Tribolium castaneum: one gene and its partners. Each later gene encodes a partner of the first gene's protein in a complex. Links are inferred from orthologs where the notes say so. Each region holds a gene or a part of one and is shown in the gene's direction. Other genes may lie near its edges.

What was found.
Region 2: Brr2 (region 1) and Usp39 share a complex: the UniProt entries of both Homo sapiens proteins name them as parts of the U4/U6-U5 tri-snRNP complex. The link is inferred for Tribolium castaneum from reciprocal best matches to the Homo sapiens genes SNRNP200 and USP39.
Region 3: Brr2 (region 1) and l(2)37Cb share a complex: the UniProt entries of both Homo sapiens proteins name them as parts of the minor spliceosome. The link is inferred for Tribolium castaneum from reciprocal best matches to the Homo sapiens genes SNRNP200 and DHX16.
Region 4: Brr2 (region 1) and uncharacterized protein LOC661495 share a complex: the UniProt entries of both Homo sapiens proteins name them as parts of the minor spliceosome. The link is inferred for Tribolium castaneum from reciprocal best matches to the Homo sapiens genes SNRNP200 and SNIP1.
Region 5: Brr2 (region 1) and mdlc share a complex: the UniProt entries of both Homo sapiens proteins name them as parts of the minor spliceosome. The link is inferred for Tribolium castaneum from reciprocal best matches to the Homo sapiens genes SNRNP200 and RNF113A.
Region 6: Brr2 (region 1) and Srrm1 share a complex: the UniProt entries of both Homo sapiens proteins name them as parts of the minor spliceosome. The link is inferred for Tribolium castaneum from reciprocal best matches to the Homo sapiens genes SNRNP200 and SRRM1.
Region 7: the proteins of Brr2 (region 1) and Prp8 are in contact, whole or in part, in a cryo-EM structure (PDB 7OS2), measured with the Homo sapiens proteins. The link is inferred for Tribolium castaneum from reciprocal best matches to the Homo sapiens genes SNRNP200 and PRPF8. Residues at the interface, in NP_054733.2 of Homo sapiens: Pro543, Met544, Arg545, Ser546, Thr570, Gly571, Thr589, Glu591, Lys592, Ile595, Arg624, Arg728, Lys729, Glu773, His786, Ala787, Thr814, Glu837, Tyr992, Thr1008, Ser1010, Ile1012, Leu1041, Glu1042, Arg1043, Val1044, Pro1045, Ile1046, Pro1047, Val1048; in NP_006436.3 of Homo sapiens: Trp2073, Arg2074, Ala2077, Ile2078, Ala2081, His2084, Asn2109, Lys2113, Tyr2168, Glu2171, Met2172, Arg2266, Leu2268, Gly2269, Phe2270, Gln2276, Arg2287, Leu2298, Ala2299, Asn2300, Glu2303, Glu2307, Arg2310, Pro2311, His2313, Phe2314, Leu2315, Asn2316, Phe2317, Ala2318.

What each region holds. Positions count from the first base shown.
Region 1 is NC_087397.1:20,466,825-20,470,324, forward strand, and holds part of Brr2 (U5 small nuclear ribonucleoprotein 200 kDa helicase), read left to right. Parts: coding exon 1-1,234; intron 1,235-3,500. UniProt on the Homo sapiens protein: Catalyzes the ATP-dependent unwinding of U4/U6 RNA duplices, an essential step in the assembly of a catalytically active spliceosome. Plays a role in pre-mRNA splicing as a core component of precatalytic, catalytic and postcatalytic spliceosomal complexes.
Region 2 is NC_087394.1:36,569,871-36,574,147, reverse strand, and holds Usp39 (ubiquitin carboxyl-terminal hydrolase 39), read left to right. Parts: upstream 1-1,477; 5' UTR 1,478-1,621; coding exon 1,622-1,697; intron 1,698-1,744; coding exon 1,745-1,783; intron 1,784-1,834; coding exon 1,835-2,095; intron 2,096-2,405; exon of another isoform or gene 2,406-2,649; intron 2,650-3,110; coding exon 3,111-4,240; 3' UTR 4,241-4,270; downstream 4,271-4,277. Other genes in the region: facilitated trehalose transporter Tret1, read left to right, coding at 81-1,450.
Region 3 is NC_087398.1:7,190,233-7,194,516, forward strand, and holds the start of l(2)37Cb (pre-mRNA-splicing factor ATP-dependent RNA helicase DHX16), read left to right. Parts: upstream 1-1,484; 5' UTR 1,485-1,645; coding exon 1,646-1,998; intron 1,999-2,046; coding exon 2,047-2,363; intron 2,364-4,284. Other genes in the region: T-cell activation inhibitor, mitochondrial, read left to right, coding at 1-415, 463-563, 671-814, 864-995, 1,043-1,277. UniProt on the Homo sapiens protein: Required for pre-mRNA splicing as a component of the spliceosome. Contributes to pre-mRNA splicing after spliceosome formation and prior to the first transesterification reaction.
Region 4 is NC_087397.1:1,785,578-1,788,867, reverse strand, and holds uncharacterized protein LOC661495, read left to right. Parts: upstream 1-1,290; 5' UTR 1,291-1,484; coding exon 1,485-1,753; intron 1,754-1,800; coding exon 1,801-2,444; intron 2,445-2,493; coding exon 2,494-2,726; 3' UTR 2,727-2,790; downstream 2,791-3,290. Other genes in the region: beta-PheRS (phenylalanine--tRNA ligase beta subunit), read right to left, coding at 145-324, 377-716, 765-925, 981-1,036, 1,089-1,146; MED4 (mediator of RNA polymerase II transcription subunit 4), read left to right, coding at 2,948-3,015, 3,066-3,290. UniProt on the Homo sapiens protein: Required for pre-mRNA splicing as component of the spliceosome. As a component of the minor spliceosome, involved in the splicing of U12-type introns in pre-mRNAs. Down-regulates NF-kappa-B signaling by competing with RELA for CREBBP/EP300 binding.
Region 5 is NC_087396.1:11,857,785-11,860,831, forward strand, and holds mdlc (E3 ubiquitin-protein ligase RNF113A), read left to right. Parts: upstream 1-1,307; 5' UTR 1,308-1,329; coding exon 1,330-1,447; intron 1,448-1,539; coding exon 1,540-1,754; intron 1,755-1,809; coding exon 1,810-2,282; intron 2,283-2,325; coding exon 2,326-2,503; 3' UTR 2,504-2,547; downstream 2,548-3,047. Other genes in the region: Syx16 (syntaxin-16), read left to right, coding at 1-233; vih (ubiquitin-conjugating enzyme E2 C), read right to left, coding at 423-843, 896-999; probable chitinase 2, read left to right, coding at 2,822-2,900. UniProt on the Homo sapiens protein: Required for pre-mRNA splicing as component of the spliceosome. As a component of the minor spliceosome, involved in the splicing of U12-type introns in pre-mRNAs. E3 ubiquitin-protein ligase that catalyzes the transfer of ubiquitin onto target proteins.
Region 6 is NC_087398.1:3,111,837-3,116,109, forward strand, and holds the start of Srrm1 (serine/arginine repetitive matrix protein 1), read left to right. Parts: upstream 1-1,473; 5' UTR 1,474-1,769; coding exon 1,770-1,784; intron 1,785-1,881; coding exon 1,882-1,971; intron 1,972-2,021; coding exon 2,022-2,144; intron 2,145-2,193; coding exon 2,194-2,364; intron 2,365-2,415; coding exon 2,416-2,753; intron 2,754-4,013; coding exon 4,014-4,273. UniProt on the Homo sapiens protein: Part of pre- and post-splicing multiprotein mRNP complexes. As a component of the minor spliceosome, involved in the splicing of U12-type introns in pre-mRNAs. Involved in numerous pre-mRNA processing events.
Region 7 is NC_087394.1:7,714,791-7,718,290, reverse strand, and holds part of Prp8 (pre-mRNA-processing-splicing factor 8), read left to right. Parts: intron 1-275; coding exon 276-529; intron 530-582; coding exon 583-1,190; intron 1,191-1,243; coding exon 1,244-1,570; intron 1,571-3,500. UniProt on the Homo sapiens protein: Plays a role in pre-mRNA splicing as core component of precatalytic, catalytic and postcatalytic spliceosomal complexes, both of the predominant U2-type spliceosome and the minor U12-type spliceosome.

The sequences.
Region 1 (3,500 bases):
AATGTTGAAGGTTGAATTGACCATAACGCCTGACTTTCAGTGGGATGAGAAACTTCATGGAGCGTCTGAAGCGTTTTGGATTTTGGTGGAAGATGTGGATTCAGAGGTTATTCTCCACCATGAGTATTTTTTGCTCAAAGCGAAGTATTCACAAGACGAGCATTTGGTTAAATTTTTTGTCCCGATTTTCGAACCTTTGCCACCTCAGTACTTCTTACGTATTGTGTCAGATCGATGGATCGGAGCCGAGACACAATTACCAGTTTCTTTCCGACATTTGATACTACCAGAGAAGAATTTCCCACCAACTGAACTACTTGACTTGCAACCTTTACCAGTCACTGCCTTACGGAACGATAAATTCGAGTCGTTGTATAACGACAAGTTCCCGCAGTTTAATCCAATTCAGACGCAAGTCTTCAATTCGGTTTACAACGGTGATGATAATATTTTTATTGGTGCCCCGACCGGTTCTGGAAAAACTACAATCGCTGAATTTGCGATACTTCGCCTTTTTGATAAAAACCCGGAAGGTCGGTGCGTTTATCTCGTTCCGAAAGATGCATTAGCTGAGTTAACGTTTGCCGATTGGCACAATAAATTTGGGCAAATTTTGGGCAAGAAAGTAGTGCTCCTAACTGGTGAAACCGGGACTGATTTGAAGTTACTGGCAAAAGGTCAGATTGTTATAAGCACGGCCGAAAAATGGGATGTATTGTCGCGAAGATGGAAACAAAGAAAGAATGTCCAAAATGTGAATTTGTTTATCGTTGATGAGTTGCATTTGATTGGTGGGGAGGATGGGCCTGTTATTGAAGTTGTGTGTTCCCGCATGCGATATATTTCCTCACAGATTGAGAAACCGATCAGGATTATAGCATTAAGTGCGTCGCTTATGGATTATCGAGATGTGTCTCAATGGTTGGGTTGTAATGCCAATGCAACGTTTAATTTTCATCCGAGTGTGAGGCCTGTACCGTTGGAATTGCATGTACAGGGGATTAATATTACACATAATGCGTCGAGACTTATCGCAATGGCGAAGCCGGTTTATAATGCTGTGGTGAGGTATAGTCCACATAAGCCGGTTATTGTTTTCGTACCGACGAGGAAACAATCACGTTTGACTGCAATTGATTTACTTACGTATGCTGCGTCTGAGGGACAGTCTAATAAGTTTTTCCATGCGGAGGAAGAGGATATTAAACCGTTCTTGGATCGGATGACTGATAAAGTAAGTATGAGTTACATACAAGGTTTTATGCGCAAGTTTTGTAAATTACTCAATTGATTCAAAAACGGGTTTTAATTGTGGATCCAGTTTCCTTTTTTTTTTCTTATCGAGGTAGAACTACAAATATGTCTCTCCACTCTGCGAATTTTCAGTAAATACCCAAATACGATTTCCAAACTCAAGTCTGATTCAATAGAGGGTTACTTCTGACATGTCCTAAGATGCAACCAAAAATACCAATTGCTCTTCGGAAATAACCCACTGTTAGCTCACCCCATGGACTCACCCTGTATTTACTACAATTGGCCGAATTATCAATCTTTGAAAAGGCAGGTGGAAATTTGAGTTTTCTCTACTCTAAATATTTTGAAAACAGCTAAGCTATCTTATTAGAATAACTCGAATAATTGAAAAAGGTAATGAAGATCATAGATTTTTATTTTAAATACCAAAAAAATATCAGAAACTGATAAAACAAAAAATTGCACAACTAGGAACCGGAAGAAAAACTATTCGCATTCGCTAACTCGTTTTATTTTTACTTACATCATTTTTCAACAAAGTATCGACTTTTGTCATAGACAGAAGCACAGGTAGGTCAGAGTTTTGATTATATCCAAAAATGGCTATTTAAGTGACTTTTTGCGTTTTTATTGAATTTCCACTAATAAAAGTGAAAATCTATCATATTTCGTTCATAAGAAATAAAAAATAATTTGACTTAATTTAGATTTCAGTTAATACATTTTAGAGCCTAATATCAAAATGGAGAAACAAATCATCTCAAAATTTTTTCTAGAGGAAGTTTGCTTGAAGATTTCCAATCTATTTTTACCTCTTATCCACAACACTAGAAACAGTTTTTGAGATATTGGTGAAAGTTTGGTTTCTCAACATACATTAGTTGTTGTAAAAGAGTACTTTTAGTTTTTATATTAAAATTAACTAGATCAGACAATTGAATCTGTGATCTATATTCATTTTTTGTCTACGAACGATAATTTTTAAGCCATCAGTCAAAGTTTGAGGGGCTGATTAAAATTTAGTTAATCAAAAACCAAAAAATATACAGGGTGTCTCAGCTAAGACTTTCGAGCCTGATATGTCAGATATTTGTTAACGGATTTTTGTGAAATTTAAAATGCAGATATTTTAGAAGGTAAAGATTAAAATTCAATTAATGCAACAACTCAAGTCTTAAAAACGTAATTTTTACATGCCTTTTTAAAATGTTAAGCCTTTTAAGATTTTTATTAAAAAATTAATCATCAATGAAAAATGATGTAAGAAAAAACTCGTTTGTGAAAGAAGTTTGTTCTGCAAGAAAAATGAGAAACAAACTGTTAAACGTGGATACAAATTCAAAAGGTCCCTATAAAACATATGCGCGCTACCACTAAATTTTGGTTACTCCTACTCGCACAAACGTGTCACGCAAATGACATTTCACATTTATCTCTCATCCTTACAAAGTTAACAAACAGTATTTTTAACTTCCTTCTTGTACTGGATGCTTTAATTCGTTCAAAAAGGACAAAAAGACTGAACAACTGAAAAATTTTAGGCACTTGAACGTTCAGGAGTTTGGAAATGTTTATCGTACACTGCTGATTAAATTCCCTTCAAAAGCTGATGTTACAGCCCCAGCTATTGCTTCGCTTCCAGTGACGACTTTTCATTTTATCCTCATTCGATTTAGTTCACGTACGCTTCCTGTGTCTTCAAATTATTGAAGATTCTTTGAACTTTAAACTTCATGAATAACATTTCACAAGAAGTTCAACGAAACTTTTTATGGAGGAATATTGTTTCCTTTTTCAACAACACTGAAATTTCTGTGTTTTACTTTTCTGATAGCGCACACACTTTTGACAGATTTTTTCAATGGTACACAAAATGCCGCATAGAAATGCTTCATCAATTGTTTCAAAAGGTGACTGCCCAAATACTTTCCAAAATTTGGATTAAGTTTTTAACAACAAAACCTAATTTTTTTTCTTGGATCAGCAGAGCGATTTGGTGAATTTTTGTGTGGCCATCTATATTTCCTAGTTTGACTTAATCTTAAATAAAAGAAATGTGTTTTAAAATTACATTTTTTAACTTGAGGTCATTTTTTTGACCCTAATTGAAAGACCACCTCCTAAAATATGTACATTCTAAATTTCATAACAATCCGTTGGCAAATAACTGAGATATTAAGCTCTATATACTATATTGTTTTTGTCTGGGATTTCTAAACTGTCTTTATTTCTCATCTACAACT
Region 2 (4,277 bases), on another chromosome or scaffold:
TGAACCAGAAACCCCTAAAAACTTAACGACCTGAATCCAATCCTTACAAAATCGAGAAACTCACTTTCGCTTCCTCGCAGGCACTTTGGCCATCGTCACCGACGGCATGATCTACGGCTGGTCGTCCCCCAGCCTCCCCCAGCTCAAAAACAACGAGACTTGCACCTTGTGCATTGACGAAAACCAGGGCTCCAACCTGGCCGTCATGCCCCTGGTGGGGGCGGTCATCGGCTCGCTCACCGCCGCCACCATCGTCGACATCCTGGGCCGCAAACGCACCATCCTTGCCACCGCCGTCCCCTTCTTCCTCTCCTGGATAATGGTGGCTTTCGCCCCCAGCATCGTCCTCCTCTACATCGCGCGTTTAATCGCCGGCATCGCCGACGGCGTCACCTTCACCGTCGTCCCCATGTACATCGGCGAGATCGCCGACCCCCAGGTGCGAGGGATGCTCGGCTCCAGCTGCTCCGTGACCTGGATCGCCGGTTTTCTCATCATAAATGTGATAGGGTCGTACCTTAGTATTAAAACCACGGCACTTGTGTCCTCAATTGTGCCGGCAATCCTATTTATTACATTCTTGTGGATGCCGGAAAGTCCGTACTATTTGTTAATGCGTGGGAGGGCGGACGAGGCCCGGAAATCACTAGAACGCCTCAAAAAACGCGAAAATGTCTCCGGGGATTTGAACCGAATCCGGAACGCAATCCAGGCTGAGGAAAAGTCGCACAATGGGAAATTCGTCGACTTGTTCCGGGTGAAGAGCAACCGGAAGGCCGTTTTCATCATCGGGGGGCTCCGGGGCTTCCAGCAATTGGCGGGGACCACGGCTATTGCCTTCTACACCCATGAGATTTTCCAAACTGCTGGGGACCACATTTCCGCACATTACGCTGTGATGATTTACTACTCCATCCAGTTGCTCCTCACAATGTTCTCCTCGAGTATTGTGGATAAGGCCGGTCGAAGACCACTGTTGATCATCTCAATGGCGGGGTCGGCGTTAGCCCTTTTTGTCGAAGGGACCTATTTTTATCTTTTGAACGAAACGGACATTGATACGAGCTCATTTTCGATCGTGGCCGTTGTGGGGCTTCTAGCTTTTGTGATAATTTTCAGTTTAGGGATGCAGTCAATCCCGATTTGTATGTTAGGGGAGTTGTTTCCCACAAATGTGAAAGCTTTTGCGCTTTGTTTGGCCGATGTTTACTTCAGTGTGATGGCCACAGTGGCCTCCAAGTACTTACAAATAACTAAAGTAGAATACGGACTACATGTCTCGTTTTACGGTTTCGGGATTTGTTCGCTACTTGGACTAGTTTTTATTTATTTCTTTGTGCCTGAAACGAAAGGAAAAACCCTCGAAGACATCCAGAAAAAACTGAGAGGGGAAGTCGAAGTTTGTGATGAACGAGGCGCCGAAGAAGAGAAAGTTAGTCTCAAAGCGTAATTTTATTGAATAAAGTACTTATTTTTTTACAATTTCGAATTTTATTGCATAACCAGATTGACATTATTATTGACACCGTTGACAGTAAATATAACCTTAAAGTTGCAAACACCACACAAAAACAGTCCTAGCGTGATTTAATCAAAAATTAATTAAAAAAGCGTGAATACGATGGAAGCGGACGATGAACCTGCCATGAAAAAGCCCAAGTTCGAGGAGCCCCAAGCCAAATCAAACTCCTCACAACGTAAGTACACATAACCTCGAAAACGCAACTGAAACGTTCAATTTTAGCCGAAATTGAGCCCCCTTCTGACAATTCGGACCGGAAAGGTACAAAAATCAATCGATTAAAGCGCCCTGTTCTATTATTGTCTATTCCAGGTGGGAAGCCCCAAACGCATCGACTGTGCCCCTATTTGGACACAATCAACCGGCAATATCTCGACTTTGATTTCGAAAAATTGTGCTCAGTGTCGTTGACTCGCATCAACGTTTATGCCTGTCTTGTTTGCGGAAAATATTTCCAAGGTAGAGGCACAAACACACATGCTTATACGCATTCGGTGGCCGAAGGCCACCACGTTTTCCTCAACTTGCACACCTTGAAGTTTTACTGCTTGCCCGACAATTATGAAATAATAGGTAATAAATACTCTCAATTGTAGTTTTGAAATTAAGTTGGCAACATTTTTCTTCAAATTTCAACAATTTTACCCAACTCACTTGATTCGAGCTGAAGTTTTACACCGAATTAGATTAAATCGTTTCAATAACGCGAATGTTTGAGAGGGCGCAATGCCAGTAACGCCCCCCTTCAAAAATAAAGTGAAATCTTCGTTTTGTCGCATTTTTCCGATTGGCATTTTATTGAATATCGTTTTGTATGCGTTTTCAACCGAAACTAACTCGAATTAAACCGAGTAATCGTGGAAAAAATACAAAAATGACTAACCTTAGCGTCGTCTAACTGAATTTTTTCAAAACCGGCTTCCAGCTTGCTGCTAACACACTTTGATAGTCTACACACGTCACATTTCCGATAAAAAGTCGATTTGAGTCGTTTTTGCCACTTAACACGCACAAAACACCGGTTTTTCAACACGCAAAAGCAAAAGGACGCGCACTTCGGCAGACAAGCTTCACTCTAACGCTGATGTCACGCCAACGGCACCTCATTGGCTGATTTGAAAATGACACTTGAGCGCGCGTGATTTGAAATTCGCGCGAAGTCTTCAATTGGGAGACTTTTTACAAAGATTAGGATTTATACGTTTTTACAATGTCATAATTCACGAATTTTGTAAAATAAATGCCTGTTTAGCTCAAAAACATGCATAATGGCTTAAAAAAAAAGGAAAAATGAGATAATTTGTGGCCTGATTTGGTAATTTTGCGGCTTGTTTGGCATTTCTGCCTGAAATAACAAGTTGGGATCTTCGGAAAAGACAAACATTATGTAATTATTGAATCCGTTTGGTGGTTTTTCGGTTAATTTTTGTGTTTTTTGTCTATTTTCGATAATCGTGTTGTCAATTTCTGAATTGAAAAAAGCAAATACTAGGAAATGTTCGGGGAAGTATTCGGTTTCAGTAATCAGTGTTGCCACTTAATTTCAAGCTCCAACGATTTTTTTCTAACAAAATTAAATTACTCACAGATTCGTCCCTCGACGACATTAAATACCTGCTCAACCCCACATTTACCGAACAACACATCAGTACATTGGACGTTAGCACAAAAATGTCCCGAGCAATTGATGGCCTACTTTACATGCCAGGAATCGTCGGTTTAAACAACATAAAAGCGAACGATTACTGTAATGTTGTTTTACAAGCCCTTTCACGTGTTGTCCCTTTACGTAATTACTTCCTCCGTGAGGAGAACTACAGCAAGATAAAACGCCCCCCAGGTGACTCCTCTTACCTCCTGGTGCAACGTTACGGTGAACTGATGCGTAAATTATGGAACCCCCGAAATTTCAAAGCCCACGTTTCGCCGCACGAAATGCTCCAAGCTGTGGTTTTGTGGAGCAAAAAGCGCTTCCAAATTACGGCACAAGGCGACCCCATTGATTTCCTTTCGTGGTTTTTGAACGCACTTCATCGGGCACTTAACGGCAATAAAAAGAAAAACAGTTCCATCATTTACCAGTCATTCCTCGGAAACATGAAAATTTACACCAGGAAAATACCACCGACCGAGCTTGACGACAGACAGAAACGCATGCTTTTGTCAACTCCAGAGTACCAGGAGATCATCACCGAGTCACCCTTCTTGTACCTCACCTGCGACTTGCCTCCACCGCCTCTCTTCATCGACGAGTTCCGGGAGAATATCATCCCCCAGGTGAACTTGTACCAGCTCCTCACCAAGTTCAACGGACAGACCGAGAAGGAGTACAAGACTTACAAGGAGAATTTCCTCAAGAAGTTTGAGATTACGCGTTTGCCGCCTTATTTAATCTTGTATATTAAGAGGTTTACGAAGAACACGTTCTACGTGGAGAAGAATCCAACCATTGTGAATTTTCCGGTTAGGAATGTTGATTTTGGCGAGTTTTTGACGCCCGAAGTTAAGGCCAAACATAAACATACGGTCTATGATCTAGTGGCGAATATTGTGCATGATGGAGAGCCGGGGAAAGGCACTTACAGGGTTCATATTTTGCAAAAATCAACGGGCAAGTGGTACGAGATGCAGGACTTGCATGTGACGGATATTTTGCCGCAGATGATTACGCTGACGGAGGCTTATATACAAATTTATGAGCTAAGATTAGAAAAGTAATTTTTTACGAATAAAATTCTATCACCGGAATTTTTGT
Region 3 (4,284 bases), on another chromosome or scaffold:
CAGCAACATCGATTTTTCGAAAGTGAACGAAAACGACCCGATCTTTGGCCCCATTGTCATGCGCCAAAAAATCAACGAGGCCAAAGAAGCCCTCAAGTTACGCAACTGGCTGGTTAAGAACTACCAAAGTGCCTTAGAAAAACTCGAAGCCAATCGGCCTCTACGCGAGGAGGTCGACCGTTTGCGCAAAAAAATCGCCCAACAGTGGAAGCTGACCGACGTCCGCTGGGACTGCGGCTGGAATGTCACCCATTTTCGGGGCTGTCTGCAAAGCTTTATGTCTCTGGCTGAACAACATCCGGAAGTTATGCACGTTTTGAAGGGCCGCACGCTGGTGTTTGCACCCTTTACAGGGATCAGCCTAGAGGGGCACATCATGCTCAACAGTGGGGAAGTGCGGCACAATTGGCTTGATGTAAGTGAAAATTTGAATGTGGTTTTGAAAGTAATTCTTGACCACAGTTGATCAAAAACGTGAGAAAGCACGACAAAATCCTATTCCGAATTCCTGGTTTTGAAAAATCCGTCTCGCAAGTCTTGAGAGGGATCAAAGTTGGCAGGAGGTAAGAATTCTCATGTTTCACATATAAAATTTAGTCGTCAGTTTTTCTCAGACTTTTGGTTATTATTGATTGGATTTGAATTAATTTAAAACGATTTGTTTTTTCAGAAAATTTATGCCGAAAGTTTTGGCGGGAGAATACGAGCGAAACCTGCAACAAATCACGACTTCTTTAAGTGACTATAGAGGAAGGCGGGGGTTCCCTAAGCAGTGGCCCCAGTCGTTAGAAGAATTTGAGATTGTTGTTGAAACGTATGAATTTTTTTATTTTAATTTAATCATAAATGTTTTATTATTTTAGGGAAGCTGGACCTTTGATGGTCTCTCCCACTGGTCAGTTTATAGTCCCGTCTTCCCTACCTGGATTTTTGTTAGTCAATTTTATCACAACCAATTTAGAACACGCCAAGGAAAAAATGACTGAATATAAAAAGTTTGTGAATGTTTTATTTTGATTCCCGTTAATTGTTTCTATTTCAGCGATAAATACATAGAGCGGTCTTTGCAAAAACAATGCATGGATGAATTCAAGTTATTTAATCTTAGGAAAGATGATAATATAACACCGGATTTAATGATTAAATGCTGTGAACGGCTCTTAGAAAAAAAAATTGATATAGAACAATATCTAAACGGTATACATTTAAACGTAGCTACTTACTACTCTGTTCTTTCAGATGGAGTGGTTTGTATACCTTGGAATTGGAAATTGTGATAGTAGATGCGAAAAAAGACCAAAATTTTCACTTCTTCTAGGTAAAAAAATATTAACTTGTAAAATTATGTGATAAGAAATAAATCTATATTAAATACAAGTATTGGTTTATTTATCCCTGTGTCACAGCCTTTTAATATTTTAATAAATTGGTTTGAATGCAATCACTAAAATCGCATTCTCAAAATTTCGGTGCCACCGGACTTGTAACCTAACCACTTGTCAAGTTTGTTTTGACATTTAGAGGTTATGTTGTTGGTGGAAGAATGTAAAATTCAGTAAAACACTCTTTAATTAAGCAAAAAACTACACATATTAGCGAGGCACAAGTAAAATTTTGTAGTCAACACTTGCTGGAGTGCCTCACCATGGGCAAAAAAGACAAGAAGGGGCGTAAGCGCTACGAATCGAGCTCGGACTCCGAGTCCGTGGACAGTGAGGAAGAAGCTCGTCGTAAAGACCTGAAAGAACGTGACGAGTTCGCTAGTAGACTCAAAAAACGCGATGAAGCCAAAGTCCGCAACATTGTCCAGGCCTCAGACCGGCGCGCTTACGAGGAAGCCGCCAAGAGACTCAAACTGGAAACTGAAGACCGCGAAAAAATGATCCCCGCCTTGAGGGTGCAGTCAAGACGTAAATATTTAGAGAAACGTAAAGATGATAAAATCGCGGAATTGGAGGAGGATATCGCTGACGATGAGTATTTGTTCGAGGAGGAGATGTGAGTTGGTGGAATGATTTTGCGGTAAATGCCAACCTGAGGTTTTAGATTAACAGAACGTGAGAAAAAGGAGCGCGACCGTAAGCGGGAATTGCTGCGGTTGGCACAGGAACATGAAAAAGCGCGTGAATTGGAAAGGGTGCAGCGGTACCACATGCCCAGGGATTTGGGCAAGGGGTCAACAGCGGACTATGTGGAAGTTGATGAGCTGGAAAAGGTGCCCCAGTCGGAGCAGAAGAAATGGGAGAAGGACCAAATGGCGTCGGCGGTCTTCAAGTTCGGGGCCAAGGATTCAGCCAAGAAGGACGAGTACGATTTGTTGCTGGAGGACCAGATTGACTTCATCCAAGTCTTGCAAATGCCAGGTCTCTATTTTTTATAGTATCTTATGATACTTCGTCCCAATAAATGGAACATTAATTGCGTCATGAGCCATGAAGTAACAAAATGATAATTCGTAAAAATTAATTCTGAAAAAAAAATTTCGTATCTTACAAAAGCACAAAAAGCAGTAATAACGTTTCATTTGAGAGAAGGCTAATTAATTGAATATTAGCAAAAGTATGTAGTTTTGTTGGCTAAACGAAAAATTGAGGACTAGAATATTTTCATAAAATTATTACGGCAAAAGAAAATAATTTACTATTTGATGTCTCACAGAATTTTTATTGGAAGAAAATAGATAAAGAATCGTCCAAAATAAGTCAATTTCGGCTAGAATACGGCTTTTCAGCCACTTCTCAAAGAGTTTTCTCGTTTCTAAGCAAGAAATTGTACAAAATGAATGGTTTTCGTCCGAACTAGTGCATACACCGTTCTTTTGAGCTAGAATAAGGCGTTTTCAATCTTCTTTTATGCGTTGTTTTTTTGTTTTTAAGCAAAGAATCGCCAGAAATAAACCGTTTTCATCCAAATTATAACATAAATAGTTGTTTGTTTCCGGCTAAAATAAGCCGTTTTCAACCACTTCTCAAAAAGTTTTCTCGTTTGTAAGCAAAAAATTGTACAAAATGAATCGTTTTCGTTCTAACTAGTGCATAAACCGTTCTTTTGAGCTAGAATAAGTCGTTTTCAATCTTTTTTTATGCGAGTTTTTTGTTTTTAAGCAAAGAATCGCCAGAAATAAGCCGTTTTTATCCAAACTATAACATAAATCGTTGTTTTCGGCTAAAATAAGGCGTTTTCAGCCACTTATACAAGAATTTTCTCGTGTCTAAATAAGAAATTATACAAAATGATTTTTTTTTTCGTTCTAACTAGTGCATAAACCGTTCTTTTGAGCTAGAATAAGGCGTTTTCAATCTTCTTTTATGAGAGTTTTCTCGTTTTTAAGCAAAGAATAGCCAGAAATAAGCCGTTTTCATCCAAACTATAACATAAATCGTTGTTTTCGGCTAAAATAAGGCGGTTTTCAGCCACTTCTCAAAGAGTTTTCTCGTTTCTAAGCAAGAAATTGTATAAAATAAATCGTTTTCGTCCAAATTAGTGCAAAAAAAACGTTCTTTTTATCTAGAGTTTTTTCAATCTTTCGTTTTTAACCAAAGAATCGTCAGAAATAAGCCGTTTTTATTCAAACTAAAAATAGAGAAAAGACAAAGTATTGACTTGCATTTGACCTTTTCAGTTCATAGTAGGTAGATTTAATTAAAATAATTGCTCTGTATTTCTAAAAAGTAGGCATTTATTTTTTTATTTCTCTGTAATCTTCTTACAAGAACCGATTTAGCACCTGTTTAAGAATCATTTGGATACTTTTTCATTAAATAAGTAATTTATAGGTAAATTGTATTGCTGTTTGAATGCTCTCAATTGAAAATATTAGCTTAATAGTTCCATGACAAATAGTTAATGTTGAACTATACTGAGAACGTCTGTGGAGGAGCTGTTCAAATAAACACATGAACGCAAAATTTGAAATAAAATGTTTAAGAACAGTAATTTAAAAATGGTCTTTACGTCACAGATCAGTTTTTATCTTATTTTAAATATTTGTACCCGAGATTAAATAAGTTAAAGTCGATTTATTTTTCTATAAAAAAAGTTACCTTCAAACCGCATGAAAAAAATATCGCAATGAGAATTTTATTTACTAAAAAATGGTAGATGCATAATTTTTTTATACAGGATGCTCAAAAACTGGCGCACCAATTTAATGGTACGTTGTTGAGCAAAATTCGTTAAAAAATTCCTAATCTCATATTTTAGAAAGTCTAGAACTACAAACGTATTTTGTTAATGTCTTCAGTTTTCATTATTTTTTAATGTTTTTATGTTTCTCACTAAGTA
Region 4 (3,290 bases), about 19 Mb from region 1:
AAGTTGGTATAACACAGAAAATGAGCCGCTGAATTCAATGGAACAAACCGCATTGCTCTACGACTTTTAGTTTTCGAGTTATGAATTTTTTTAATGAATAAAATTTTCCACTATGGCATGTTTCAATTGAAACGTTCAACTCACTTTAGTCAAATCAGTTGCCGTACATTCAATCAAAACATTTTTGGTGTTGAGTGTAATTTTGGAGTGATCCCCATTAATAATCGGCGGAAGGGATAAAATAACCCCATTACTGTCCAAAACGAGTGGATATACAGGGCTGTCTTTGATGATGTGCAAGTATTGTTTTAGCTGCGCGTGCGCCTGAAATATCACGTGACTGTTGGGAATCCCCCAAACTCGGTCAAAATCTTACTGAATAGAGCTCCATAACGCCGTTGCCGTCACACTCTTTGGTTTGATTAAGTGGTACAAACTTAAACTCAGAAGGTGGTTTAGCGTCATAGGTGAAGGGCCCCTGAACTGTATCTAAATCGTGCGTCCCGATTGAGACAAGCGTGCGTTTGCGGCAAATATTCTGATGCAACTTATCTTGCAAATCAATGAAACTGTTGTAAGAATCTTGAGTGAAGTATAAATTACGCAAAACGGCGCCTACGATATAAGGCCTGATTTTCGCCGTTTCGGGTGTGACGTGAATTTTTTGAATACTGTCTGATGACGGTTTGATACGTTTGTAAACCGGCGGCTGAATTCTACAAAAACATTACAGTGCCAAAGTCAAGGCAAAACTAATGACTCACTTCCCCTGAAATATTTTAATTCCTAATGAAATGCCTTCAAGACACAATAAATCGTATCTGTTTGCAGGAATGTCAATTCGATAAATGACTTCCTCGGAGGCTCCCGCCGCCTGGGCTGAATCCTCCCCTTGTTCCTTACTTATCATCTGTTTTTCAGTTGTCTTGAAATTTAGGGCATTATTGCATCATTTTATCGCTTGAAAGATTAATACTTACGACTTCGTCCAGTTCAAGACCGAACTCGAAGCATAAACGCTGGAATTCATCGTCGGCTGGAAATTGCAAATTGGGGCAATAAGGGGGCACAGTGATCAAACAACTTACTGAAAGTGCGCCCAAGGGCTTCGAATAGCAAATTGCGCTTGACACCCACAGTCGGCATTGTATTTTTTATTTACTATCACGTTTTTGTCTAAAAATGAACACGTTTAAAGTGTTTCACAACTGAAAAAACGATGACATGTGCGGGACCTGTCAATGTCAAAAGTTGAGGTTGGGTCAATTGTCAGCATCAGCGATCAGTTTTCGAGAAAAAACGCCAGTTTTTAAGATTATTTAACAATTAGTCTTCGTCAGAACTATAATCGGAACATAATAATGCAAATTTAATTAATTTTTTCCCACAATATTTTTTTTCGCCGGTTGTATTGGCACACCTGTCAATTGCGAGACGTAGCGTTTCTTATAACCTTAAAGTTACTTCGCCCAAACAAACAAAAAATGGGCTCAAAGAAGAAGAAGCGCGTTTCCAGCAGCTCCAGTTCATCAGATTCAAGCAGCGAAAGCTCCGATTCATCACCCGAACGGCGCCCGAAACGTAAAAGCAAGAAAACCGAATCGAAACCTGAGACTGAAGAATCGCCGAAGAAAACCAAAACGAAGGCAAACTCGCATAAAAAACACGAAACTCCGCCTGTGGCAAGTGACGAGGCGAATAAACAGGCAAAAAAGAGGGACAAAAAGCCAACAAATGAGGAAGAAACCGACAGGTATGATTGTTGGTGGTTTTAAGGGAAAATACTAGTTGTGTTTAAAGGAAACGCAAGCGGAGTCCTGTGCCTGAAAATCGGGACAGGCGGGAGAGGGACGATAAGAGGGTCCGGGACGATCGGGGGCGGCATGACGACAGGAGAAACCGCCCCAATGACCACCGTTCTCACGATAACAGGTTCAGAAACCGGCGTCCTGATTACAGAGACAGGGAACGGGATTACAGGAACCGACGGGACGATAACAAAAATTACCACAACCGGGAGCGAAACAGAGAGAACCATCCAAGGCGGCGTAGCAGAAGCGCCTCCTTTGACCACTCGAACGCCCGTTGGGGCCGCGAGTCGGACGACAAAAAATCCGACAAGAAGGAAAAAGACCAGAAGGAAAAGCAAAAACCGAATTTCGGTCTTTCGGGAAAACTTACCGAAGAAACTAACACTTATCGTGGCGTTGTTATAAAATATAGCGAGCCGCCTGAGGCTTGCAAGCCGAAACGTCGGTGGCGGTTGTACCCTTTTAAGGGCGAAAAGGCCCTTCAGACTTTATACATACATCGCGAAAGCGCCTACTTGATTGGGCGCGATCGCAAAGTTGTTGATCTCCCTGTAGATCACCCTTCGTGCTCAAAACAACACGCAGCTTTGCAGTATCGCCTAGTCCCTTTCACGCGTGAGGATGGCACCACTGGTTTGTGGGACAGCTGGTAGTGTGTTGGGTTTTTCATTGTTTTTTTCAGGGAAGAGAATAAGGCCGTATTTGATTGATTTGAACTCGGCTAATGGGACTTTTATCAATAATAAGAAGATAGAGCCGAGTAAATATGTGGAGTTGTTGGAGAAAGACGTGATCAAGTTTGGGTTCAGCTCAAGGGAGTACGTTTTATTGCATGAGAATAGTAAAGATGAGACACAGGATGACGATGTGAAGCAGGAAGAGCCGGCGGTTCAAGTCAAGAGTGAAGAGAATTGAATTTTGTGTATATATTTTAATTTAGCTTAGGTTTCTTTCAATAAAGTAATTTTTTCGATTAAAATTCCCGCTCTTACGATTTAGTTATTCTCTGGGCAGATGGCATCGCAGTGTGCGCGTTATTTTGACATTTGTGTATTTGAGGTTGTGTTCGAAATAAAAACTGTTCAATTGATTATTTCGTTTAATATTTAAACCCGTGAGTGTTTTTCCCCATCATTATGTCGTCTCAAATGAGCACGAAGGAAAAACTCCTTTACATCCTCGACGATATTGAGTTAATCTCCAAGTACGTCCCCCTTTCGGGTCATTTCGTATGGTTTTATTTGCGTTTTTTAGAGAAATAATCGAGAATTCAATCGCCCCCAAGCACCTCAAGCTTTCCGGCCCTGAATACGCTCAACTGACCGAGCTTTTGGTGGCCAAAAACACCGAACTGACTGAAACCCTTAAACTGGCCGCTGAACAGGCGCAAATCGACAAAAAAATGGACATCTTGAAGGCCGAAGTGGAGCGTCAGGACAACGACATTAACAACTTGCAAAAACAGCTCAAAGAGGCCGA
Region 5 (3,047 bases), on another chromosome or scaffold:
TTGACTTGAACGAAATTTTCAAAGATCTCAGTCAGATGGTCGCCGACCAGGGGACAGTTCTGGACAGAATTGACTACAACGTGGAACAGACGCAGATCCAGGTCTACGAAGGCTTCAAACAGCTGCAAAAGGCAGACGCTTATCAGCGGAAAAACCGCAAGATGTGCGCGATCCTTGTATTGGCTGTAACCACAATTATTTTATTTTTTACCTTGATTATCGTGAAATCCTAGTCGTGATAACGTATTTTTATTCGCTAAGCCAAATATTTATTTATGTAAATAAATTATTGAAACTTGATCGTTTTATTCAATCATAACACACGAGAAATAGTAAAAATTATATAACACAAATATGTACGCAGTCTATTATTACACAATGACATCTTAAATAACTGAAATTTTTCTAATGCGAGATCAAATTTAGACTTCCTTGTACGACTCTAACACCAGCTTTTTGTACTCTTCTTTTTTCTTCCACTTGTCGGCGGCCGTCGTGTTCAGCGGACTCCTCGTGTTTGGTTCCCCTAACAAGGCCTGAATTGATAACAAAATTGTTCTAACGTCATAAAGCGCCGACCACTTCTCTTTTAAAATATCTAAGCAGATGTTCCCACTGGTGTCGACGTTGGGGTGAAAGCAAGGCGTGATGAATTTTACTACGGGGGCCGCGTAGGGGTACGAGTTCGGGAATTGTAAACTTAGTTTATATTTTAAACTCTCATAAACCGTGTCTTTGGGCCCCATTATGGTACCTACCCACTTGAACAGGTTGTCGCCCTCGGGAAACGCCGAGATGCTCTTGTCTTCGGACATCATCAAAGTCATAAGCTCTTTGTGCAATCTGCAAATCGAACAAAGATTAGCACCCCAATTTAGACTCACTTTTTGCCCACCTTTTTGTCACTGCGTGATTATCGTTCGATACCTTCTTGGAACTTTCGGCCTGCTTTACGTTCTCGGGCACTTGCTCCACGAACGGATTGAAATTTTGGGCCATTTTTACCACGTTCACTAATAAATTATCCTAATTCTACTTTAATTGATTTGTAGAAAATTCGTTACGATGCAGATGGATGCCAAACGTCAACGCACTTTCAAATTTAGCCAATCAGGAACCGTCACCCATAACTACCAACAGAACCGCGAAAGCAATTAACATTCAAGCACTTGCTATTACCATTATGACGCACTAGGAAAACGTGTAATTACAAATTCAAATTAGATTAAATTGCTTTGGCTCAAGTCTAACACCACAAAGGCGTTATTGAGTTTTGAAATTTTTGATATTTTGTTTGGCGTCAGCACTGACACTTGACACTTGTCAAAGATGGATGATCCGCGTGACGTTAAAACAGGACTTGATGAAAGTTGCACTTTTATATTTAAAAAACGGAATATAAAAAATAAAGGGGCGCGGAAGCGCCAGAAATCCAGTTCGGAAGGAGGTGGGTACCCCAAATCCGTGAATTAACCTTCACTGTTGTTGTAGACTTAGTTTTCGTGTTTTAAAGGTTATGTTTGTTTGCGATTTCTTCAGAAAAGTCCAACAGTGAGGACGAATCTGCGGTGAAGCGGGCGAACCGGCGTCGGGGAAAAGCAAACCCCAACTTCCAAACCACAAGCAAAGCCAAACAAAAAGAACATGAGCAGCAGAACTACTCAAGCAGTGAGGAGGAAATTATGGTTAGTTACAAGTCCAAACGGTCCGCTATGCCTGAGGGACCTCAAGATCAGGGAGCGACGGCGACTCTTGTAAGCCACTTAACCACTCACTAGTATTATCCAATCAATAATTATTTAATTAAAGGAGTTTGAAACTGAGCGCGATCGTGACGCCCAAGCCATTTTCGAGAAGCGGCTAGAAATTAATAAAAATCTTGAGGGCAAGGAAGACGATAAAGTCTACAGAGGCATCAACAACTACGCACAGTACTACAAGCCCAAAGACACGGCTGCGGGCAACGCCAGTTCGGGAATGGTCAGGAAGGGCCCCATCAGAGCCCCCGCAAACCTGCGTGCCACCGTCCGGTGGGACTACCAACCCGACATTTGCAAGGACTACAAAGAAACAGGCTTTTGCGGTTTCGGGGACAGTTGTAAATTTTTGCACGACAGGAGTGACTACAAACACGGCTGGCAGCTTGAGCGGGAATGGGCGGAAGGCAAATATGGGCAAGAAAGCGACGAGGATAAACAATACGAGATTGACTCGGACGAAGAGGATTTGCCGTTCAAATGCGTCGTTTGCAGGGACAGCTTCGTGGACCCGATTGTCACAAAGTAGGAGGCACCTTTTACGAGTCTTTATTACAGTTAATTTTAGGTGCAAACACTACTTTTGCGAGAAGTGCGCCCTCGAGAGGTACAAGAAGACGACGAGGTGCTTCGTCTGCAACACGCAAACGAGTGGCGTTTTCAACCCCGCGCGGAAACTCATAGCGCGGCTGAATCGAGAGGATAATCCTAAGAAAAAGAATGACTCAGATTCGGATTCCGATTAATGTTTTTGTAAATTGTGTAATAAATAAACAAATAAAAAATTGAACTGGTTTTATTCCAATCCCACACGTGAAGAGGCGAGTGAGACAGAGAAGACGCTACTTCTTAGTGAGGTGCGGCTTCTGAGTGAAAGGTATAGTAACAGTCAAGCGGGTAACCCCCAACTGGACACATTCATTGTATCTTTCTCTGTCTCAAAAGTACCAAAAACGCGCGCGCGAAAGAGAAAGCTGCTACCTTGCCATTATAACTGTAATATATATTGTACAAGAAATATAAAGTTCATCTCTCATTTGTGCAAAAGTTGCGAGAATACCAAGATGGTATCACTAAAAAATGTTTGTGCTGTTTTTGTGATTTTCGTAGTGACTTTCATGGATGAAGTTAAGGCCCTTACTGGTAAGGAATCCAATTGGTTCCTAATCACCGTTAATTGTTTTTCTAATCACCGAGTTATCACAGTATTGTGTGGTAATGCATTATGTTAATAAGATTTTTATGTGACACAACAGTTAAATAAAAACCGTACGGTGAAACGATGATATT
Region 6 (4,273 bases), on another chromosome or scaffold:
GTGTTAACGACTTGGGGCGATAAAAGAAATACAAAGTGCGCATTTTCACTCATTTACAATTTCTCAAAACTTGTTTAAATTTTACTTGTTTATATTGTCCTGTTATAATTACAATTTCGTCGTGCGGTTCAAGTACCTCGTATTATAATTTTCTGGTTTCTTATCCCACCTCACGAACAAAGTCGCACGACATAATTAAATTAGCGGCTTTTTTCAACTATACTATACCCTCGAAGAGGTAATTGCGATCGATGAGGTCTAATTAAGCCTTCGATAAGCACGGAAACTTCGTGACATGAATTTCGTCTTCGGCTGTAGGTCTTTTAAAAATTAATCACGAAAAGTACCGTTTAATTACCATCTCAACCTCATTCCGAAGGCTAGTCATCTCAGACAATACGAAATACCTGACCAAATACTCAACAAGATGATGACATCACCGGTTTTCCAAAAAACCGTCAATGATGGGTAAAATCATCTAAACCCGACACTGTCCCGTGCATTACATTGACCACCTGTCCAGTACGTACCTACTCAAAGCGATACCTGATCATTGACCTCATCATATAACTGTTCTTCGGCGTTTATGTGGGCTGCAGAGGGCAAATATTTTGAATATCGGTAAATCTACATACTCGCGCGAATTGAGCCCTGCGCCCCTGCAAACTTACCGCAAAAACCGTATTTTTGCTAATGGCCATCCTGTCCTGACTCTGGCACTTATGAGACTCGAAAAATTGCAAATCTAGCAAACAATAATTTTCGGTGCGTTTCACTCAAAATTGCCAATCCATATTTGAACCACCTTTTTTCTACTTTATTTTTTCACTAACTGGCACTGTGGTCACTGGTGCACTTTGGTCGGGTGCTGCACGAAATAATTTCTTTGAAGTGTGCCAGTAGACTGAAGACCAGGTTGTTCTTGAACTTGTGAAACGGAAATGATATAATGTTGTACCTGGGAGGGATTAAAGAACAAGAACAGTTGCTAAGTGGGAGAACACCCTGTTTTCCTATTATAACAGATGACTGGCTAATAGTCGACGGACCATTACGGTTCAATGGAGGCTACCTGTCTCATCTGGGCCCCCAATTATGTTGTGCTGAAGACAACTTTGTTTCTCGAGTTCTAAGAAAAATACCAATTGGGATTTGATTTCGTGAACAAAACAGTTTTTTTGACTAGCACTTTATGTTTAGAGCGTTTGATTGGGAGTGAATGACCGGCAAAAAGCAGTTCATTTGGGAATTTTTCCGGAATTTTATTTTTTACAACTGGGCTGCTCTTGTGTGCTATTTTTGCACAAAGTAGCGTTTTTGCCTCATTTTTAGTAAAATACGTGGTTGGGCGTTGTTGTAGTTTTGCGATAAAGCGGCTTTTATTAAAATAGGTTTGAATGAGTTCTCAGATTTTAAAGTCGCGCTTGGCCCGGTCGGTGCGGTAGAGCTGCGGTGGTAAGGCAGAATCTGGAATTATCAACAAATTTGACGCCATGACGCCACGCCATTTTGTTGGAAGCAACATGGATTTGTAGAATTTAGTGCGCGATTAATTGTAAAAAACGATGATTTTTTTATTGTGAGTCGCGTTAATCGGGAGTTTGCATTAACCGCTGTAGTTTAGTGTTATAGTAAATCATGTGAAGAATTCAATTATGTGTATATCGTGAAGTCAAGTACCGGCGTCTGTGCTACAGTTCCTCGTTTCTTGATTTAGTAATTTGAGTGGTTTTTGTTAGTTTGCAACGAAAGGACCATTTCCGGACTCTATGATGATGTATACGGTGAGTTTTTTGCAAGTGGATTACGTCCCCCCTTGGTGTTTATTAATAGAACTGTCAAATATTTTAAGGGATTATTGTTGTAAACAACTCGTTTCAGGGCACAACCACCGAGCAAGACAATCGCTTCAGCGATAAGGAAAAAAAGCTCCTGAAGCAGATGAAGTTCAGCGATTGTTTGAGTCAGAGGGTAAATTAAGCCAAGCGTAGGTACCGTGATAAAGCAGCGCTCAATTGCAGGTTGATATGTCCAAAATTAAACTTGATGTCATCAAGCCGTGGATCCAAGACAAATTAACGGAAATCTTGAAAATTGATGACGACGTCGTCGTCGATTTTGTTTATAATCAACTAGATGAGAAGGTACAACATTGCCAACTGAAACTCGCTTGCTTAAATATTTACGTTGCAGTTTCCCGATCCTAAAAAGATCCAAATCAATCTTACGGGGTTTCTGCATGGGAAAAACGCGCGCGAGTTCATGGCCGAGCTGTGGGCGCTCTTGATCTCAGCACAGGAGAACCCGTCCGGAATCCCCGACTCACTCTTGGACTTGAAGCGTGAAGAAATCATAAAAAAGAAGGTTTGCATAAATTACATACTTTTGGTGGTATCACCGCTTGTGTTATATTAGGAGAAAGAGGAAAAAGAGCGTGAGATTCGGGACCGGGAAAGAGAAAAAGAGCGCGAACGCGAAAAGTCCGACAAGGAGAAGAAATACAGGGATAGGGACAGGTCCAGGTCTAGGAGGAGATCACGGTCAAGGTCGCGGCCCAGGAGGCGGTCGGTTGAAAGGTCCAGCAGGAACAACGATAGAGGGAAGGACAAGAGGTCAAGGAGCCGTTCCAGATCCAGGATCAAGATTGATGATTTGAGGAACAACGGCAACGCAAGTCCCAACGAACGGGAGAATAATGGCAGAGAGGATTCTGCCAAATTGGAAAGCAGTACTGCCAATTCTAAACATAATTCGTAAGTTTGTTTACTGATAGATTAAATTTGTTGCGGAAATTAATTGCACGTTGTGGTAAGTGGTGAGTTTTGTAAATTGCTTCAGTAACTCGTGTTACGACACAATTTCAGCAAGATGCTAAAAATGGTTATTATTTTTATGACGCGCAAAATTCGTTGAATAAATAAATAAAGAACGTTAGAGAAAGTTGGTTTCTTTCTTGATTATATCACTGGCTAAAAGTATTTTAAGCAAGTGAAAAAATTTGCACATTTTAATACTGCGTGGATTTTTTGTTTAATAAGTTTTCTAAGGTTTGCGCTATTTTGGCACGTTTTGGGATTGATTTTATTTTTATTTGTTAACGTATTAAAATAATTGTGGATTAATTTTTGTGATTTTGTATGTATTTAATAAAAACCATTCTTTGTCAACATGCATTGATGATGCAGCTTTAATCATCTAATGATGGAACGTTATATTGGAAATGGACGTAGTTGTGTGAGCAAGTTGACTTTGTTATGTGATTCAAATAATTTTCTTAAAATTATTCGAATAGATATTAGTTTACAGGTTTTTTGTAATCTGTTTTTAATTACGTCGAAAAATTATGCAAACGGTTATTTACGTTACAAGGATTAAAAACGATATGTTGCATTACGTGGGTGAGTGATACGTTGTGTTTTCATAAGAGTAACGTACAATATTTTTTCTGTAGCTTTATTAAAACATTTTTTAATTATGTATTAAAATAAATGTTATTTTTATTACAAAATTACGTTGGTATTTATCACTTTTTATTTTGTTTTTTTTTTCACACTAATCATTATCGTGCCAGTGCCTGGTAAACACGAATTTATTAATAGATTTTTTATATTTGTATTAGAAGTTTTATTTCCCGGTGTTCTTCTTTGCCAAGAAAACATTTTTAAAGTTTTTTTGTCTTAGCTTGCGTCCAAGCACTTTTATTAAAAAAAGTCAGTTATATAAACTATATTATGGCTATAAATAAATACCTCAGTCTTATTGGTTTTATAAAACTTTATCGTCCATTGTATAAAATAATTACAAAAATTAAAAACCACTTGTAAGGAAGAATAACAGTTTAAATAATAGCGTTACCTTTTTTTTGTATGTGATGGGTTGTACCGATGTATTTAATGTTTGTTCGGACATTTTGTGTAATCAAAATGCATCGTTGGCTTCGTCTTGATTCCATTATTTTTGTTGCCCGTTTTGCAAACGATGTGGGCAGGTTTAACGTTGGCTTTACTGTCTAGAGAGAGTTCCCAGCCCGTGTCAAAGCTTCAAGCGAAGCTGATGTCCATGGCCGGCGGCAACGGCAAACAGCAGCAACAGCAGCGTAACTCCCGTTCCCGTTCGAAATCAGTATCTCGCTCCCGTTCAAAGTCGGCTTCACGCTCCAAGTCACCCAGCAAATCGCATTCGAGATCCCGTTCGTCGTCTAGTCCACGAGCATCAAAGGATCGCAAGTCGCGCTCCCTCTCCAAGGACAAGGAGAAACGTCGCTCCCGCTCCA
Region 7 (3,500 bases), on another chromosome or scaffold:
GTTAAAGAGCTAATCAGAAATTTAACATTTTTGAAAAATTCAATTAAAGCACAGTGTAAAAATGCACGGACTTTATTTTTATAATAGAACATTAGAAAGTCTTTTGTTCTTAATATTAAAATTATTATAAATTAAAATTGTTTTTTCTTGTAGTTTGCGGAAGACTTAACAATGTTTGACATTAGAAAAAAAATACGTAAAGCAAGGGCTTTATCATATTACTATTTTATAAAAAATTCAATTTACTAGTTGTTGAAATAGGTTATTTTTTGTAGGTATCACGCCCCAAATGTGGTTTACATTAAGACAGAAGATCCCGATCTCCCAGCCTTTTATTTTGACCCGTTAATAAACCCAATCTCGCACCGACATGCCGTCAAAAGTTTGGAACCTCTACCCGAAGACGACGAAGAATACATTTTACCAGAACATGTGCAACCCTTTTTGCAAGAAACACCACTTTATACAGATAACACAGCTAACGGTATTGCCCTGTTATGGGCTCCTCGTCCATTTAACTTGCGTTCAGGTATTCATTATTTTATTTAAACGTAGAGAAAAAATTTATTTTAATACTTGTAGGACGTTGTCGCCGGGCCATTGATGTACCATTGGTCAAAACATGGTACATGGAACATTGTCCTCCTGGACAACCGGTTAAAGTGCGCGTTAGTTACCAGAAATTGTTAAAATACTATGTTCTTAACGCGCTTAAACACCGGCCTCCTAAAGCACAGAAAAAACGCTACTTGTTCCGTTCATTCAAATCCACCAAATTTTTCCAAACTACTACACTTGACTGGGTTGAAGCTGGTTTGCAAGTTTGTAGGCAAGGTTACAACATGCTCAACTTGCTCATTCACCGGAAAAATCTCAATTATCTTCATTTGGACTACAACTTTAATTTGAAACCTGTCAAGACTTTGACGACAAAAGAACGTAAAAAATCCAGATTTGGGAATGCTTTCCATCTGTGTAGGGAAATTCTACGTTTGACTAAACTCATAATAGACTCACACGTTCAATACAGACTTAACAACGTTGATGCGTTTCAACTGGCTGATGGTTTGCAGTACATTTTTGCCCATGTCGGTCAATTGACTGGCATGTACAGATACAAATACAAGTTGATGAGACAAATCAGAATGTGTAAAGATTTGAAACATTTGGTATATTATCGTTTCAATACGGTAAGAGTTTGTGAAATTTTATAAATCGGAAGTTAGAAATTATTTTTATACAGGGTCCAGTTGGGAAAGGTCCAGGTTGTGGATTTTGGGCTCCAGGTTGGAGGGTTTGGTTGTTCTTTATGAGGGGAATTACACCTCTGCTTGAACGTTGGCTCGGCAATTTACTGTCACGGCAGTTTGAAGGCAGACACTCCAAAGGTGTTGCTAAAACTGTGACCAAGCAAAGGGTTGAGTCTCACTTCGATCTTGAGTTAAGAGCTTCAGTTATGCACGATATTGTCGATATGATGCCTGAAGGTATCAAACAGAATAAAGCCAGGACCATTTTGCAGCATTTGTCCGAAGCGTGGCGGTGTTGGAAGGCCAATATTCCTTGGAAAGTAAGTTTCCTTTGTTCATTTTTTTTCAATTAAATATACGGACAGTGTTTTGCTATAAAAAATAGAAATTAAAAACATAACTGCATACAATGAACATTACAATAGCTAACATTTAGAAATTAAATGAAGGTTTTTAGGAATGAAATTTATTTTAATATACTAGTTAACAAATTTCTTAACAATTACAATCCGCTTTAACACAAAACTTGGCTTTGGTTCCAAAAAAAAAATCGGTAATAGACTGGTTGAAATCGGTTATAAAGTGATCTCAACAGAGACAACATGTAGTGTTCCAGGCGTTTGATTTACTTTAGTTTCGAACTGTTTTTTAAGCTAGTTAAAAGGTTATTAAACAATCTTGCGGCGTGTCTAAATCAAGTTTTTAATGAAAATATTGGGGTTTATTCAATTACATAACACATGTGGCATGCATTTTTGTTCATTTCAATTTTGTATAATGTAAAAAAAATATATTTTGTATCAGAAGAGTTAAAAAACATAAAATAACTTCAGTACAAGCAGTTTAGAGAAGCTTAAGGTTTTCTTTAGATAAACAGTTGTGGGAGACATTATTTTTTTACAAGATGTAAAATATGTTTTACAACTATTCTGTTGATTAAAATTTCATCGAAGTTATAAAAACCAAGACACACTTCGTTTTATAATGTCTCTTTGTGTTTTAAAATTCTATTAAATTCCAACACTTTGTATAACTATTTAGTTAGTTTAGTTAGTTTAATTGGACAGACCATAATAAATAAATAATGCTGCCATTTTTTGACAAATTAAGTTGAAAAAAATATTAGGGGTTGATTTCATTAACGATAAATAAATCGCCAGTTAGTTATTTGACCAATAATGTTTTAGAAAAACTGAAAAAAAAATCTTTATTAAATTTTACTCTACAGGGTATTAATGTTCGGACAGAAAACTGTTTTACAGATTTAATATTAAGTTACGTCTCCTTTCCTTTCCTGATTACTTGAACCTTGGTCGGGATAGTTTTTACTAGGTCTCAACAAAATTCAGGAGTAAAATGGTGCATAAATCTTGTCTTGTTCCTATTGAATGATTTTATAAATGGTTATTCATTTCGTTCCAAAGTTTTGATAATATTTACTTATTAGATACGAACTATTTGAAACAGTTTATGTTATGTTCTCCATACTATTTTTTATTTGTTGTTTCACATGCTCTTCCATCTTGTAGAAAAATAAAAACACATTGAAAAATTACATTTTTTGGTTACATAATATAATTATAATAATATAATGTCACGGTAATTGTCAACGTTTGCTTACATTTTGATTTGATTTAACTTTATGCAAAATCTGTCAATATCGTTCCAAAATATCATTTTCTAATTTGCTTTTTAACTTTTGCAATGAGTAAAAAGATTAGTTTGAAACAAAGTTCGTTCAATGAAAATAATAATAATAATGCTAAAGAATTCTAGACGTGCGCAAGATCAAGAGCTTTCAAATTTGAAATTATTTCAAAAATTATTTTTTCAAAGCTTACGACAAAATACAAATTGTTAAACCTATATCAAGTTTAGTTTCACAAGAACGGTGTTCTCTTTTTGATAATAATTATTTTTTTTTAATTTTGGTGTTATAGTAAAATTGTTACTTAACATAATTTTCTGTCTTGTTCATAATCTTACTATTTTTCATTTTTGTCATACACTTTCTCTGTATTACCTGTTTACATAAAATAATCATTCATAATACTTCTGTTATGAGTAAATACATCTAGGACCTTTAACATATTTTTGTTGTTTTTAAAGTATTCACAATTATTTATAACGATTTTGGGAAAATTATTAATCAAATAACAAATTGTTATTTTATGGATGTTTAAATTAATATCAACTCTTTATTTATTACTGTTTTGTTTAAAAAGATAAGCCACTTAGAAAATAAAAACT